Linked DNA regions of Elephas maximus indicus. The protein of the gene in region 2 interacts with the protein of the main gene of each other region in a pairwise test. Links are inferred from orthologs where the notes say so. Each region holds a gene or a part of one and is shown on either strand. Other genes may lie near its edges.

The links. The genes of interacting proteins can lie anywhere in the genome.
Region 1: the proteins of AP1G1 (region 2) and AP1S2 interact in binary tests that used the Homo sapiens proteins (3 or more experiments, as listed by UniProt). The link is inferred for Elephas maximus indicus from reciprocal best matches to the Homo sapiens genes AP1G1 and AP1S2.

Annotation. Positions count from the first base shown.
Region 1 is NC_064846.1:163,729,263-163,736,520, forward strand, and holds the start of AP1S2 (AP-1 complex subunit sigma-2), read left to right. Parts: upstream 1-4,206; 5' UTR 4,207-4,343; intron 4,344-6,587; coding exon 6,588-6,766; intron 6,767-7,258. UniProt on the Homo sapiens protein: Subunit of clathrin-associated adaptor protein complex 1 that plays a role in protein sorting in the late-Golgi/trans-Golgi network (TGN) and/or endosomes.
Region 2 is NC_064839.1:38,637,783-38,644,948, forward strand, and holds the start of AP1G1 (AP-1 complex subunit gamma-1), read left to right. Parts: upstream 1-4,128; 5' UTR 4,129-4,483; intron 4,484-7,166. UniProt on the Homo sapiens protein: Subunit of clathrin-associated adaptor protein complex 1 that plays a role in protein sorting in the late-Golgi/trans-Golgi network (TGN) and/or endosomes.

The sequences.
Region 1 (7,258 bases), on a different chromosome or scaffold from region 2:
TCCTTTGTTCCAGGTGGGTTGAGACCCACTGATGCATCTTTGATGGCCGCTTGCTAGCATTTAAGACCTCAGACGCATGGCTAGGTATTTTTATTTAATAATTTCTAAAAAGCATATAGAGTGGCTTAGGGAACTCTGGACTAGTCCACAACATAGTGTTAGCACTGACTTTTTTTTTTTCAATCAAGTTCATTACAATATTTGGGGCCCTGGTGGTACAGTGGTTAAGCGTTTGGCTGCTAACCAAAAGGTCAGCAGTTCAAATCCACTAGTCGCTCCTTGGAAACCCTATGGGGCAGTTCTACTCTGTTTTATAGAGTTACTGTGAGTCAGCATAGACTCGACGGCAACGGATTTGGTGTTTTGTTTTTAAGTAAAACTGGCGTTAAAATGTAATAATAGCCTTTATTACATCTCAGCTCAAGACTCCATCCCTAGAAAGAAATTTGCCATTGCTTCTGGTATTTATTTCCTGGTATTTAAAGACTAGGGAGCTCTAGTGGCACAGTGATTAAGAGCTCAGCTGCTAACTGAAAGGTCAGCAGTTTGAACCCACCAGACACTCTGTGGGAGAGATGTGGCAGTCTGCTTCTGTGAAGCTTAAACCCATAAACTCACTGCCCTTGAGTTGACTCCGACTCATAATCTTGGAAACTGTATGAGGCAGTTCTACTCTGTCCTACAGGGTAGCTATGAGTCAGAATGACTCCATGGCAAAGGGTTTGGTTTTATTAAAGACTAAGATCCCTGAGTGGTGCAAATGGTTTGCACTGGAGTACTAACTGAAAGGTTAGTGTTTCAAACCCACCTGGTGGCACCATGGAAGAATGTCCTGGCGATCTGCTTCCCCAAGAAAACCCTATAGAGCAGTTCTACTCTGTAATACACGGGGCTGCCATGAGTCAGAATTGACTCCACAAGCAACAGGTTTGGGTTGGTTTATCTAAAGACTATGGTACTAATCCTGTTTTTTATTTATTCTAGATGTTATCTATTTTGTTCCTGTTAGTGCAGAAGGACTTAGCATTATTTCAACATCCCCTCATTTCTGCTCCTACATATAAATGTTACAGTTTTTCCTTAAATCAATTGTCAGTGTTTAAATGATGACACAAGTTAAGTGCACTACAGAGCCACTAACGTACGCTGACATCCTTGTGTTGATGTTTTAAACGTTCCTTTTTCATTTCACGGCGTTTGAGAGGGAGAGAAGATCAAAGCATGTGGCCATCATACCACATTTAACAAGAAGTACTAATACCATATTTGAAAACTTTCTAATAGATTACATAAAGTCTCAAAGTTTTATTATTAGAAGGGAGAGGCCCTATTTCATCCTGATCTCTTGTATTTAGCATAAATTAAAACGATGTACTTTTCTTAAAATTTAAGAGACAATTATAAAATCTGACTTTTAATTTTTCATAAAAATACTTTCTGTGCCATCATTACCACTAAGAAATCGGGACCATCTAGATAACAAAAGCAGGGGATTAAAAAAGATACCCTATGGTAATGACAGATAAAGAAGATACTCAGTGAGAAGCGTGGATATAATAAAGCCCACAGCTCGGAAATTTTAGTAATCAAAGTCAAGCTATTAATTACTAACAAAGACGCCAACAGTGCTTTGTCTTTCACGGTGAATGCACAATTAGCACTTAATATTAAAACTAGGGAATAAACCATCTATAATCCACTGAAAAAGACCATCTGCTTCTATAAATTTTGTTCTCATACACTTGCCAAAAGCAGAGAACAGATTAACAAAATAATGGGCCTTGCGCTGTTAATTGGTAGGTCATTTGCAGTTGTGCTGTTGCTATTAGAATTTAGTAAGCCATTCCTTCTGCTAAATTAATAAGCAGCCAAGATTATGTAATGGTTGCTTTCAGCAGCTAATTATTTTTCCCATAGTTCCTTCTCCCCCTTACCCCCAATCAGCTAGTCTCCAGCCCTCATTTTCCGAGCCACAGACCAATGTTAATTAAGAGCATAACCAATGAGTTTCAACTTGGAGGTGGCTACCTCTGGAACCCTGGGGATATAGGTGTTTGGTGCAGAAAAACAGACAGCAGCACTTGGAATTAGAGGGTTTCATTGCATAGTATCAGAGCAATCTTTGAACCAATGGCACCTGTTTTTGGTAGTAAGGGAGAAAAGGACATTGGAATGTGCCTTTGGGGCTTGACTGGGCAGGGAGCAGGGAGAAGCTTGGGTGGGGGCCTAGAGAACTACAGATAGCCAGCTCTGTGCTCTTCCCTGGCACTTTCTTCTGTATTTCAATATTCATCAATCATACAGGTTAGTAGGAAAATTTCCAAGCACCAAGACCAGTGCTTAACAAGGGGAAGCATTATCAATTTTTATTTTGCTAAATAAAGGCATTAAAAAAAATGCCCCCAAGCCCCTATTATATACTCTCGATTTTATAAAGACATTTTAACACACACACAAAAGAAAGAACACAATCCTTCATTTCTTTAAATTTAGCTTCATGAAAAATTTAGCTTTTTTTTACTGGGAGCCCTTAGAAAATCTTGGAGACTATTCTGGAACCTTTGCAAAAAAGGGCATGGTCCAACAAGAACAATTTTCTAGCTTCCTTTGTAAGAATCCAGGAGACTGGGGTAATGAATAGCATTCGACACGGGAAACCCGTGGCTGCTCAAGCAAGGTCACTTAATCCCATGGGGCTTCCCTTTCCTCATCTGTAAAAGAAGATGGTTGGACTAGATGATTCATCAATTCTCTCATTCAAAACAAAAAAAAAAAAAAATATCAACATTCATTGTGTGCCAGGAACTAAGCTCAGCATTCCGGTTACCAAATCTATCATTTTAGAGTCCTTATCGGTCAACACACATTAAAAAAAGATTTTTTTTATTGTGCTTTAGGTGAAAGTTTACAGTTCAAGTTAGTTCCTCATACAAAGATTTATATACACATTGTTATGTGGCCCTAGTTGCTATCTCTATAATGTGACAGCACACTCCTTTCCACCCTGTATTTCCCATGTCCATTCAGCCAGCTCCTGTCCCGTTCTGCCTTTTCATCTCACCTCAGGACAGGAGCTGCCCATTTAGTCTCATGTATCTACTTGAACTGAGAAGTATACTCTTCACAAGTATCAATTTTATAACTCATAGTCCAGTCTATTCTTTGTCTGAAGAGCTGGCTTCGGGAATGTCAACTTACATATTTACTAGTTGGGACTTTTTTTTATATATGCCAAGCGGTAGAATAGGCTGGGGATGCAAAATGGAATACAATTCAAGATGTGCTAAATGGAGGCCAGTGGGTACATGGGACAAAGAACTCGTTCTTACAGGGTTTTAGGGTCAGACTTCACAGGAGAGGGGACGTTTAGGAGAAAGGGCATGCCAAGCTGAGCAGATCTTCGGCAAAGCTAAACTGAACCCAGACGGGTAAGGGGTGGCCCCAAGTGACGGGAACAAGACTCTATCTCGAAGATGAAAGGCTGTCTGCGTTTTTCAGCAGAGAACGGACAGTAACCCATCTGATACGCAGCACTGAGGATGGGCGAGGCAAACGCACGAAAGACTCTTGCAAAGCCTGGGGCGAAAAGTGTCTAGACTATGGCAGTAGCCGCGCCATGGGAGGCAAGGGCCGGGTTCCGAAGAGTTATGAGGCGGAATACTTGCAAAAGAACCTCTGACCGCTTGCACGAGCTCCACGAAAGAGCTGACTTGATTTCCCAGGAATTGCAGGCCCACTCCCCTATCATCCCTGGCCGTCACACTTCCCTCATGCCAGCCTCTTAGGGGCATGGAAAGTGATCCGGGCACGAACGTGGCTCTTCCAGGTAGGAAGCTTCCACGATCGGCATGGTGGTACCTGCAAAGCACGCCACGGAACCCCGTCGACCCACCATAGACGAAGCCCGGGAAGCAGCCCGCGAGCACCCCGGGGGCAGGGGCGCCAGGGCGCAGGCGCGCCAGCCCCGGCAGAAGCCGCTTCCGGGTCACGTGGCCGAGTTTCCGGTCCGCGCCACCCGGCTGGGTGGATACCCGGCCAATCGGCTGCCTTGGGCGGCGCCGTCGCCGACTCTGCCTCCGGTGTCGTGGGCGGTGACCGGGCTGCTTCCCGCGCGTCGCCTAGCCCGCCCCTCCGCTCGCCGCAGCCCCGGCTCCTCCCTCGGCCGGCCCCCGGGGCGGGGTCTGTCGGCTCGCCCTCCCCTCGCCGCCTAACCCAGCCTTTCTCCAAACTGGTCCCCTCCCCTCAGCAACACGGCTGCTGCTCCTCACCCCGGCGACAGGGGTTTCCCCTTAGCCGCCACCGCTGCCGGCCGAGCCCCGCCGCGCCCGCGGCCCGCGGCCGCAGTAAGTCCCGGGGGGCGAACGAAGGCTGGGGAAGGAGAGGGTGGGGGAGGGCCGGGCGCGCCCCCCGCCGCCCCGCGCGCGCCCCGGCGAACCCACCCAGCGCCCGCCCGGCCGCTTCCCGGGCGCCGCGCCCCGCAACTCACTTCTCTCGGCGTCCGCGCCCCGGGCTGCAGGAGTCCGTCCCGGCCGCCGCACCAGCCCCGTCGCACTTGTGGTTCGGGAATCGCTTCAAGTTTTGCGGGGCGTTTTGGGGAGGGGACGCAGCGGGGAACTGTGGCGGCCGAGGACCCCTGGCGCCCCCTGCGCGGCGGCGGATGCCATTGTCTCCTCGCCCCGGTGCGGCCAGCGGATGGAGTGTGGCCCCGAGGGGGGGCGTCGGCGACGCCCAGACCCGAGGAACGCTGGCCCCGAGCCCGCTCCGCGGCAGAGCCCATTGTTTTTAACACCAACCTCGAGGAATTGTGCTCTGCGATTTGCGGCAAAATCAAAGCATTGATTTTTAATAAGAGGGAAGGAGTACTTTAGGGAGAGTGAATTATTTATTTGTCCTGTGGAGTGGCAGGGCGGATACAAGAATGCTGCAGACAGCCTTGAGCCCAGACTCCGATCGCTAGTAGACCCCTACCTTTCCTGGACACCAAGCTCTATGAATACAGAGTCCATTCTTTTCCGAGTTCTAGTAACGGGTTTATATTCAGCGTGGTCCAGTCGATGCGTCCCTTGCGGCCCCTTCGAATGCCGCTATATGCAGGATTTGTTTGGGAGGCACACTGACGTCTCTGAATAAGGTTCATGTATTTTGTGCCAGTGAAGGGTTTTGAGATAAAATTGCTTTGCGTCTTTAAGCCAGTTTTAACTTTAAAAAGTTAAATTGCGGCGTCATGAATTTCCAGATATCTCGTTGATGCCTTTTTGGATTATTACAAAAAAAAAATACGACACTAATTAGCGACTTTGGAAATGTAGGGCTCATTTTATTCTAAATTGGTTGTGTAAATTCCGCCTTTCCATGTTCATATTCAAGATGGTGTGATGAATATTAAAAACCAGGTTTGAATTATATTTGCAGCCACACTGTTAAAGGAACTTATAGTTAAAAGAAAAAAAATCTCTCTGAATTGTACCTTTAAATTGCCTTTGTTGAAACGATACTTAGATGTGCGCAGTTGAGATGACCAGTTGAATTACAAGAAGAACCAGAAAGCCAAACTCGTTGTGGTCCGAGTCGGTTCTGACTCATAGCGACCCTCTAGGACAGCGCAGAACTACCCCATAGGGTTTCCAAGGCGCTGCCGATGGATTCGAACTGCTGACCTTTTGGTTAGCAGCGGACTCTTAACCACTGCGCCACCGGGGCCCCTCTGGTCCTTTAAAAATTAAACATGTAGATGAATCAACATCTGTTGGTTTGCAGATTCCAAATAACTATACACAGAGGAGCGTATCAAATACGCTAGAATACAGCAGTCACTCAATCTGTAGGTGCTATTTTTGATGGTTTTTAAATGAAGTATTGTGTAATGTCTCTAAATATGTTTAACTCTTAGTACTTCTGGCTTTTTTAAGGTTTATTTTCTCTTTCATAATCTTACACTCATTATTTATTGTGTGCATACGTATGTTGGATTTTTTAAAAAGTGAGGTCAAAACATCTTTAAAAATCAGGCTCTCATTAAGAAAAACATCTATTTATGGGATCCTTTTTTTGGTTAATATTTTAGATTTTTAAATTTTGTTTAAAATATGCTAGCATAAACTGAAGAGTGCATTTTAAGTGATAATATCCTTGTCTACAAGGAATTCAGCCCGGAGCTAGCCGGCCTCAGGGTGAAAAATAGTAGGTCTTCTCTTTCTTTCAAATGTACCTGAAGGAGATGTCTCCAGTTCTTCTGTGATGCGTAGACAGTGTGGGTATACATATAAAAAAAGCACAAGTAAAAAATACTGTTTTAAATGACAGAAGAGTTATCTTTCTTCAGAAATTTCACTCCAACTGAACTGGTTTTCTTTTCCATGCGCTCCTTTCCAAACTTGAGTGGAATAGGGTGGGGTGGCGAGGTCTGCATATAGTAAGAAGAGCTTTCTGCAAGCATCTCCTGCTGTTTTAATTGGCATAGAAATACTGATAGCTACTAGTCATTATCAGTTAAACACCCCCCCCTTCTCTAAAAAGCATGTAATTTTAATCTTAACTCTGTTGAGTCAAAGTGTTGCATCTAACCTTGGTTTTATTTACCTTAACAGATGCAGTTTATGTTGCTTTTTAGTCGTCAGGGAAAGCTTCGACTGCAGAAATGGTATGTCCCATTATCAGACAAAGAGAAGAAAAAGATCACAAGGGAACTTGTGCAAACCGTGTTAGCACGTAAACCTAAGATGTGCAGCTTTCTTGAGTGGCGAGATCTGAAGATTGTTTACAAAAGGTATGATTTCTTCCCCCCCCCCCGCCACCCCAGAACGTTGAAATAGCAATCTTAGGTCATTTATGATGTGAAAATTGCAGACTTTTAAGAGATGATGTTTATAAATAATGATTAATAAAGATTTAGATGAAATAGGTTTAAGGTGAAGCTTTGTGTTTGATGAATTACTCAGTCTAAAACGATAAATGCAGGGAAATAAGCTATAAAACTATACAACTGAAGGCATAAATGCTTATTAGTTATCATTTTAGAAAAATGGAATTCAGTTCTTTGCAGAGATCAATATTTTTCATTTAGAAAGTGGTATAGTCTATTAATATCTGTACCTGTTTTAAATCCTTTAAATTTCTCGATTTTTCTGAGCAGGTTGAAAAAAAATTTCTTGAACGTTTTTAGGAGGACCTTAACTTTCTTCCCTATTTCTGTTTCCCTTTATGACTAGCTTACTGAGTTTAAGATATGCATTTCTGCATATAAAAGTTGGCTCTTGTG
Region 2 (7,166 bases):
GCTTCTAAGGTACATTCTGGTTGTACTTCTTCCAAGACAGATTTGTTTGTACTTTTGGCAGTCCATGGTATATTCAATGTTCTTCGCCAATGCCACAATTCAAAGGAGTCAGTTCTTCTTCGGTCTTACTTGTCCATCTTTCACGTGCATATGATGCAATTGAAAATACCATGGCTTGGGTCAGGCGCACCTTAGTCTTCAAGGACTTTGCTTTTCAACACTTTAAAGAGGTCCTTTGCAGCAGATTTACTCAATGATTTGATTTCTTGACTGCTGCTTCCATGGGTGTTGATTGTGCATCCAAGTAAAATGAAATCCTTGACAACTTCAGTCTTTTCTCCGTTTATCGTGATATTGCTCATTGGTCCAGTTGTGAAGAAAAAATTCAAGCCTCGAGTTGCAATAGTGAAGGATCCTATGGGGAAAATATTAAATGACGCAGGAAGCATCAAAAGAAGATGGAGGAAATACACAGAGTCACTATGCCAGAAAGAATTAGTCGATGTTCAAACATTTCAAGAAGTAGCATATGATCAGGAACCGATGGTACTGGAGGAAGAAATCCAAGCTGCTCTGAAGGCATTGGCGAAAAACAAGGCCCCAGGAATTGACAGAGTATCAATTGAGATGTTTCAACAAACAGATGCAGTGCTAGAGTTGCTCACTCGTCTATGTCGAGAAATATGGAAGACAGCTTCCTGGCCAACTGACTGGAAGAGATCCATATTTATGCATATTTCCAAGAAAGGTGATCCAACCAAATGCAGAAATTATAGAATAATATCAGTAATATCACATGCAAACAAATTTTGCTGAAGATCATTCAAAAATGGCTGCAGCAGTATATCAACAGGGAACTGCCAGAAATTCAGGCTGGTTTCAGAAGAGGATGTGGAACCAGGGATATCATTGCTGATGTCAAATGGATCCTGGCTGAAAGCAGACAATAACAGAAGGATGTTTACCTGTGTTTTTATTGACTACGCAAAGGCATTTGACTGTGTGGATCATAACAAATTATGGATAACATTGCAAAGAACGGGAATTCCAGAACACTTAATTGTGCTCATGAGGAACCTTTACATAGATCAAGAGGCAGTTGTTCGTACAGAACAAGGGGATACTGCATGGTTTAAAGTCAGGAAAGGTGTGTGTCAGGATCGTATCCTTTCACCATACCTATTTAATCTGTATGCTGAGCAAATAGGCTGAGAAGCTGGACTATTTGAAGAAGAACGGGGCATCAGGATTGGAGGAAGACTCATTAACAGATGAGAAAGAGGCTCATGAAAGTTCAGAGATGTTAAATAACTTTCTGCAGGTCACACAAGGATGAGTGGAAGGACAAGGTTTTAAGCCCAGGCAGGCTATCGCTAGAAACCCATTCTCTTAACCACTATGCAATAGCGCCCATGTGTTTTACAAGCCCATGGTGGGTGAACAGCAAATGAGTCAATGTATATGAAAATAGTTTTGTAAACTGTAAGACAGCATACGTTTGTGCTATTGTCACTTGTAGTTGTTGTTGTCCTGTGTGGTTGAGTCGATCCCAACTCACAGCAACCCTATGGGACAGAGTAGAACTGCCCCATAGGGTTTCCAAGGAGTGACTGTTGGATTCAAACCGCCAACCTTTTGGTTAGCAGCCAAGCTTTTTTAAGCACTGTGCCACCTCTCTAAATCTATTTTGGAACAAGGCAAGCCATAACCCGTAGATATTGAATGTCTTGCTCAGAGCAGGAAGTTACTTAAACCGAACTAGGACTGGAACCCAAGTGGTTTGACTCCTGGCCAATGCTTTTTCAGTTGTTATTTGTTAAATTGAAGCACGTAAGTTATCAATAAAAAACAAAATCATAGAAACAATGATGTTTTCTCCCAGCCATTCTCTATTCCTAGAAGTTTGTTAAATCTTCTTAGGCTGTTGGTGTTTTAAAAACAAAAATTATCTTTAGCATTTGGATCTGAAAAACTTCATTATCTTAAGAATTTTTTTCAAAGTGTAAAAGTCTGTTTTTTTCCCCAACTATAAAAGTACAGTATGCTTGATGCAACACAAAAACCAAAACCAAAAACAGCAAAAAAAAAAAAAAAAATTGTAAAGAAGTGAAAATCATCTATAACCCCACCACCCCAAAATAGCTATTTTTGTGTTGTAGTTTTATCCTTCAAATTTCTTTCTATGCATATGTAGTTTTTACAAGCTCATTTTATAATACTTTTTTGTAATATTATTTAAAAAAATTTGCCATACGGTGATAAAGATAGAGCTATAGTTGTTTTCACTGGCAACATAATATTCCATTTTATGGAAGTTCTGTAATTTATTTATCTGGGATTAGGGATTATATTTGAGAAGATGAGGAATAAACCTTTCCAGACTTTAATCACTGCCCAGGGAAACCAAAGATCCTGGGATAATGAAGACCCTTTATATACTGGGCCAATTGCTTTTAATTTTCAGTTGTATGAAGGAGGGGTTTGGTAATTATAAATATTGTGAAATACAAGTAAAAAAAAAAAAAACAAACAAGCTTGGAGTGGTCTCCATTTTGTAATGTCTGCAATTTTCTCTTTAATGGTCTGCCATTTGGCCTGGTGGAATAAAGCACCTTCCTTCTTGAATAGCTATACCTCAGAGAAACCCAGGTATGGCATCATATGGTATTCCTGCAGAAGAGGGTGCTGAATTCCAAAAGCATTCCACTCCCTAAACTATTTGCTTTGGGTCAAATCCACCGTGAGAAAGGCAGAGATAGACACAAAGACGGGGGGGGGGGGGGGAGAGAGACAGAGACAGAGAAAGAGACAGAGAGATAGAGAGAGAGAGACAGAGAGAGACTGTGTGTGTGTAGGTGGGACGGGGCGGGGGGCGGGGAGGACGACGAGAGGTTACTGTTTCCCAATTTGCAGGGTAGGACCACTGGAGGGGCAGTGGTTAAGCGTTGGGCTGCTAACCAAAAGGTCGAATCCACCAGCCTCCCCTTGGAAACTCTATGGGGCAGTTCTACTCTGTCCTATAGGGTTGCTATGAGTCGGAATCGACTCGATGGCAAAGGGTTTTTGGTTTTTTGGTAGCAGGACTACAGCGGCATAGGGGAGAAAGGAGGGGCGGATCCTTTGGTAAGTCAGTGTCTGAATTTCAGTTTCCTTATTTATACAACTAAGTTACTTACACTTACCCAGCCTGACTCAGGCGGTTGTCGGGAGGGTCAAAATACATATGCATATGAAGGTGCTTCGTTAACAATGTGATAGCGATATTTAATAATGGTAAAAGATGATTACTATTATTACTATTTCAGCCACCTTGCATGATCCGGTAGTTTAAGGACAAAATTGTACAGATGGGCTACCCCGTTCATCTTTTGCAGTGTTTTGAACCCCCTGAAAATGATTGCCTAAGGGAGAAAAAAAAAAAAAAATACAAACTCTTTCCAATGACACTCAGGTCCTAAACTCAATGCTTGTGATTAGTTCGGTTCACTGGTGCATCCAGCCGGGTGCTGTGCTTTATTCACTTTGGGGGGCACTTTATCTCCAATCTAACCGAAGAGTTTTAGTCTAGGTAGGTCACCTTTTCTTTAAATAGGACAAGATATCATGACACTGTTTATGTTCACATGGAAAATATTCTTGGTCAGGTGTTAGTAATTATTTATCAAGCCAGGAACTGTCTGGTTGGGCTTCCTATGGTTCAGGTTATTAGTTCATGAAGACATACACAGAAAGCCCAGTCTGGAAAGGTTTTATCACTAGCCTAATCCTTTTTTTTTTTTTTTTTTTTTACATAAGAGGGAAGTGAGGCCCACAGAGTTTAAATGACTTGTCCAATGCAGGGGTTGAATGATGGTACTGTGTCCTCCTTTAACTCTTCATGCAGAGGTGATCTGAAAGAGCTTGGGATTTCAGTGGATTATGATTTGGCTCGGGGTTCTCCACCCCTTACCTGCCTCTCCTTTCTCACTTCCTCTGCTACTTTACCTAGCCCCGCCCCCTTCAGGTGCCATTAGCCCAACCCGTTCCCTCCCCCCTCCCCCCACAAAGCGGAACCAATGTTCGTCAGCTCCGGGGTTGACCGGATCCTTCTTGTTCAGACTCATCGCAGCGGTGACTCGGCAGCAGCGTCTCGCGTCATCAGTGACAGCCCCGAACCTTGCTACGCTTCGCGTCGCTCGGCCAGGGGCAGTCGCTTCCTCCGTGGCAAATAGTCCTCGGCGACGTCTAGATTCTTGGATAATAGCAGAAGAGAGGCGCAAAAGGTTGCAGTTAGAGGGTGCGGAATCGATAAGGAGAGGAGGATAGGAACCCGAAGTTTATGCAATAGTGTGTGAAGTTAGTTAAAACTCCGTCCCTCCTAAGGATCCCTCCGCCTGCGGTAGCGGTGGTGAGGCGAGGAAGCCGCCATTTTGGATGTTCGGTTCCTGCTGCCACTGCTGCCGCCGCCCCCGGAGCTGCTGGTTTCATTCGAGGTTTCGGGCCGGTGAGTGTCACTCTCGGCGCCGAGAGTATATTGCTTCTATTGCCCAGCGGCTGCTGCGAGCCCTCGACCGGAAGCTTCCTGATAAGCCCAGGGGTCCGGTTCTAGTCTGTGGGGGGTGAGAACAGAGGACAGAGGCTGGGCCAGGAGGGGCCCGGACCCCAAGGGCTGCTCTGACTTCTTGAGGGCCGCCCCTGAGGCATCGGACCCGGTGGCTCTGCGCGCGGCGGCACTTTGGCTTTGGCGTACCCGGATCGGTGCGGGCCTCCATGAACCCGTTGACTTTCGTAGTCTGCGGTTCTCCTTTGAGGACTCCATTCAGGGAGCCTGGGGTTTAGCGGGGCGGGCTCCACCCCCGCGTGTCTTCACAGAGCCACGTATCAGCGTTCTTGTATCTGTACCCGGGTCAGGTGTCTCACAGAACTCTCCTCAGCATATTCAAATGTTCAGTTAATCGCTGTCTGTCCCTCCAGTGCCGTCCTCCCTGAACCGGACATCGACCTCGCCTTCCTCTAACCTTTCGACCGTCTTTTTCAATTCTCCGTTTTATGTTTTTTTTTTTTTCAAACTAAACTGCGCGTATACCGATTATCCTTCACTCAAAGTCTTGGTCTTGAGGACGTCAGTTTTTAATAATTCTCCCGATCTTTCTGACTGCCTGAAAAAGTTGGGACGGTTGGTTGAGCTCTGTTAGGGCTGGCTGTAGAAGATCCATCAAAGCACCAGCTCAAAGTGTACTTCAGTAGTAAATGTTTATAAAGCAAATTAAATGGCTTTGTGTGTGTGTAAAGTAGGGGGTGTCAAATATTTTCTTTTTGGTGGATTACCCTCTTTTGCTGAGCACTTAGCTTTTTGGTGCTTATTGACATTTGTACATTTTTCTTGGTGTTAACGTATACCTGGGAATGGAAAGCTGCCTATGAAGAAAAATAGTAATCTGATGTAGTTAGGAAGGAGAGTAACTTTTTTGGCTGCTGTAGGGATTAGTCAACAGAAGGGAGGAGTGAATGAAGATTTCTTAGTAATTTTAACTTTTAGGTGTATTGTGTAGAAATGATCTCTCTCACTGACTCTAGAAATGGTTCATTGACTTTTCTTTTTCCTCTCTGTTGTAAAAAAAAAAAAACTGGTCAATTAGAAAATACTCGTATTGACTTTGTGTGTTGGGTTTTTAACATTAACTTAAGCTCTTCTCAGTATACACCTTAGCTTTTGTTTTGAAAAATACAGACCTTCCAGATAAGTGTAATTTCACTACTTTTACTCTGCATCTAAAATATGTTTGCAGGGTAGCATGCGTGAATAAAAGCATTTCATAGCAATTCACTGATTATTTCTTACATTTCAAGTTAGGTGAGTCTGATTCAATCACCCCTATTTCACATCTCAGCTTAGGTTTTTATATCTGTAAAATAACTTATTTGAGATCACAGTCTAGTAACTGTTGAAATTTTAATTTATAACTTGAATTGAGTCACATTTTTTAATATCTAATATTTATATGTATTCACCACTATTTCACGTCTCAGCTTGGGTTTTCACATTTTTAAAAGAGATTACTTATCTAAGATCACAGTCTGGTGACTGCTGAAATTTGAATTTATAACTTGAACTGAATCAAAATATTTTTAGTACCTCTAATATATGTATTTAATACCTCTATAAGTGGAGCCTTGGTGGTGGAGCCTTGGTGGTGCAGTGGTTAAGAGCTTGGCTGCTAACCGGAAGTCAGTAGTTCCAGTCCACCAGCCACTCCTTGGAAACCCTGTGGGGCAGTTCTACTCTGTCTTTTAGGGTCACTATGAGTCGGAATCGACTCAGTGGCAATGAGTTTTTTAATGCGTAAGTGCATTATTCTTGCCAAGTTATTGAAATGAGATTATAGATGAACTGTGTTTACATGACGCCTCAGTAGAATACTGAATGTTTTCATTGTAAAGACTCACTGGTCTTGTTAACTTATTTGTTTTAAGGGAATTTTTCAAAAATGTATTAGTTACTACTAGATATCAGTGAGTTATTAGTGTTCGCGTAGTTTACTCTAAAGCTATGGAGTTTCATGGTTAAAGGAACTGTCAAACACTGAACACCTATGGAATGCTCACTCCTTCACTAACTGTCCCTTACAGATTCTTCTAAAATGTTCTGAGTTACACTTTTAAAGCAAAATATTGCAGGAGCTGTCAGGTGTTATTTAACTCCATTCATTTCGTGGTATAATGTACTGGTAGGTATTTAAATGTTATTCATTCTTTGGGGATTTGCATTCAATTGAAGAAAGTGTTCTTTTGCCTTGGAAATTTTTAAGGACTGTTTAGTGCACCACTGATTGATCAGCATATAGTTGAATATCACTTTGTCCAAGGCTGTTGGGATTACACTTGAAATTAACATTAATGTTTAGGAAACCTCAGTTCATTTTCTTTTGGGAACAGTTTCTTGTTCTTTTGATTTTTTTCACTGAAGTTCTAGGTTTGGTGGCAAATTTTAGAGTGAAACTAAAGTACAGAAATTGCCAGCAATGCCTGGGTTATAATATTTCAGTATTTAAAAAGTCTTGACAATGAATGATATATTTAAGAAAAAAGTTTTTGTGACTTATAAAAACTCTTTATACAAAATTTTAAATGTTGAACGGTCATTTTCCAAAACCATTAAGACTATTTTTAATTAAAAAAGTTGAATT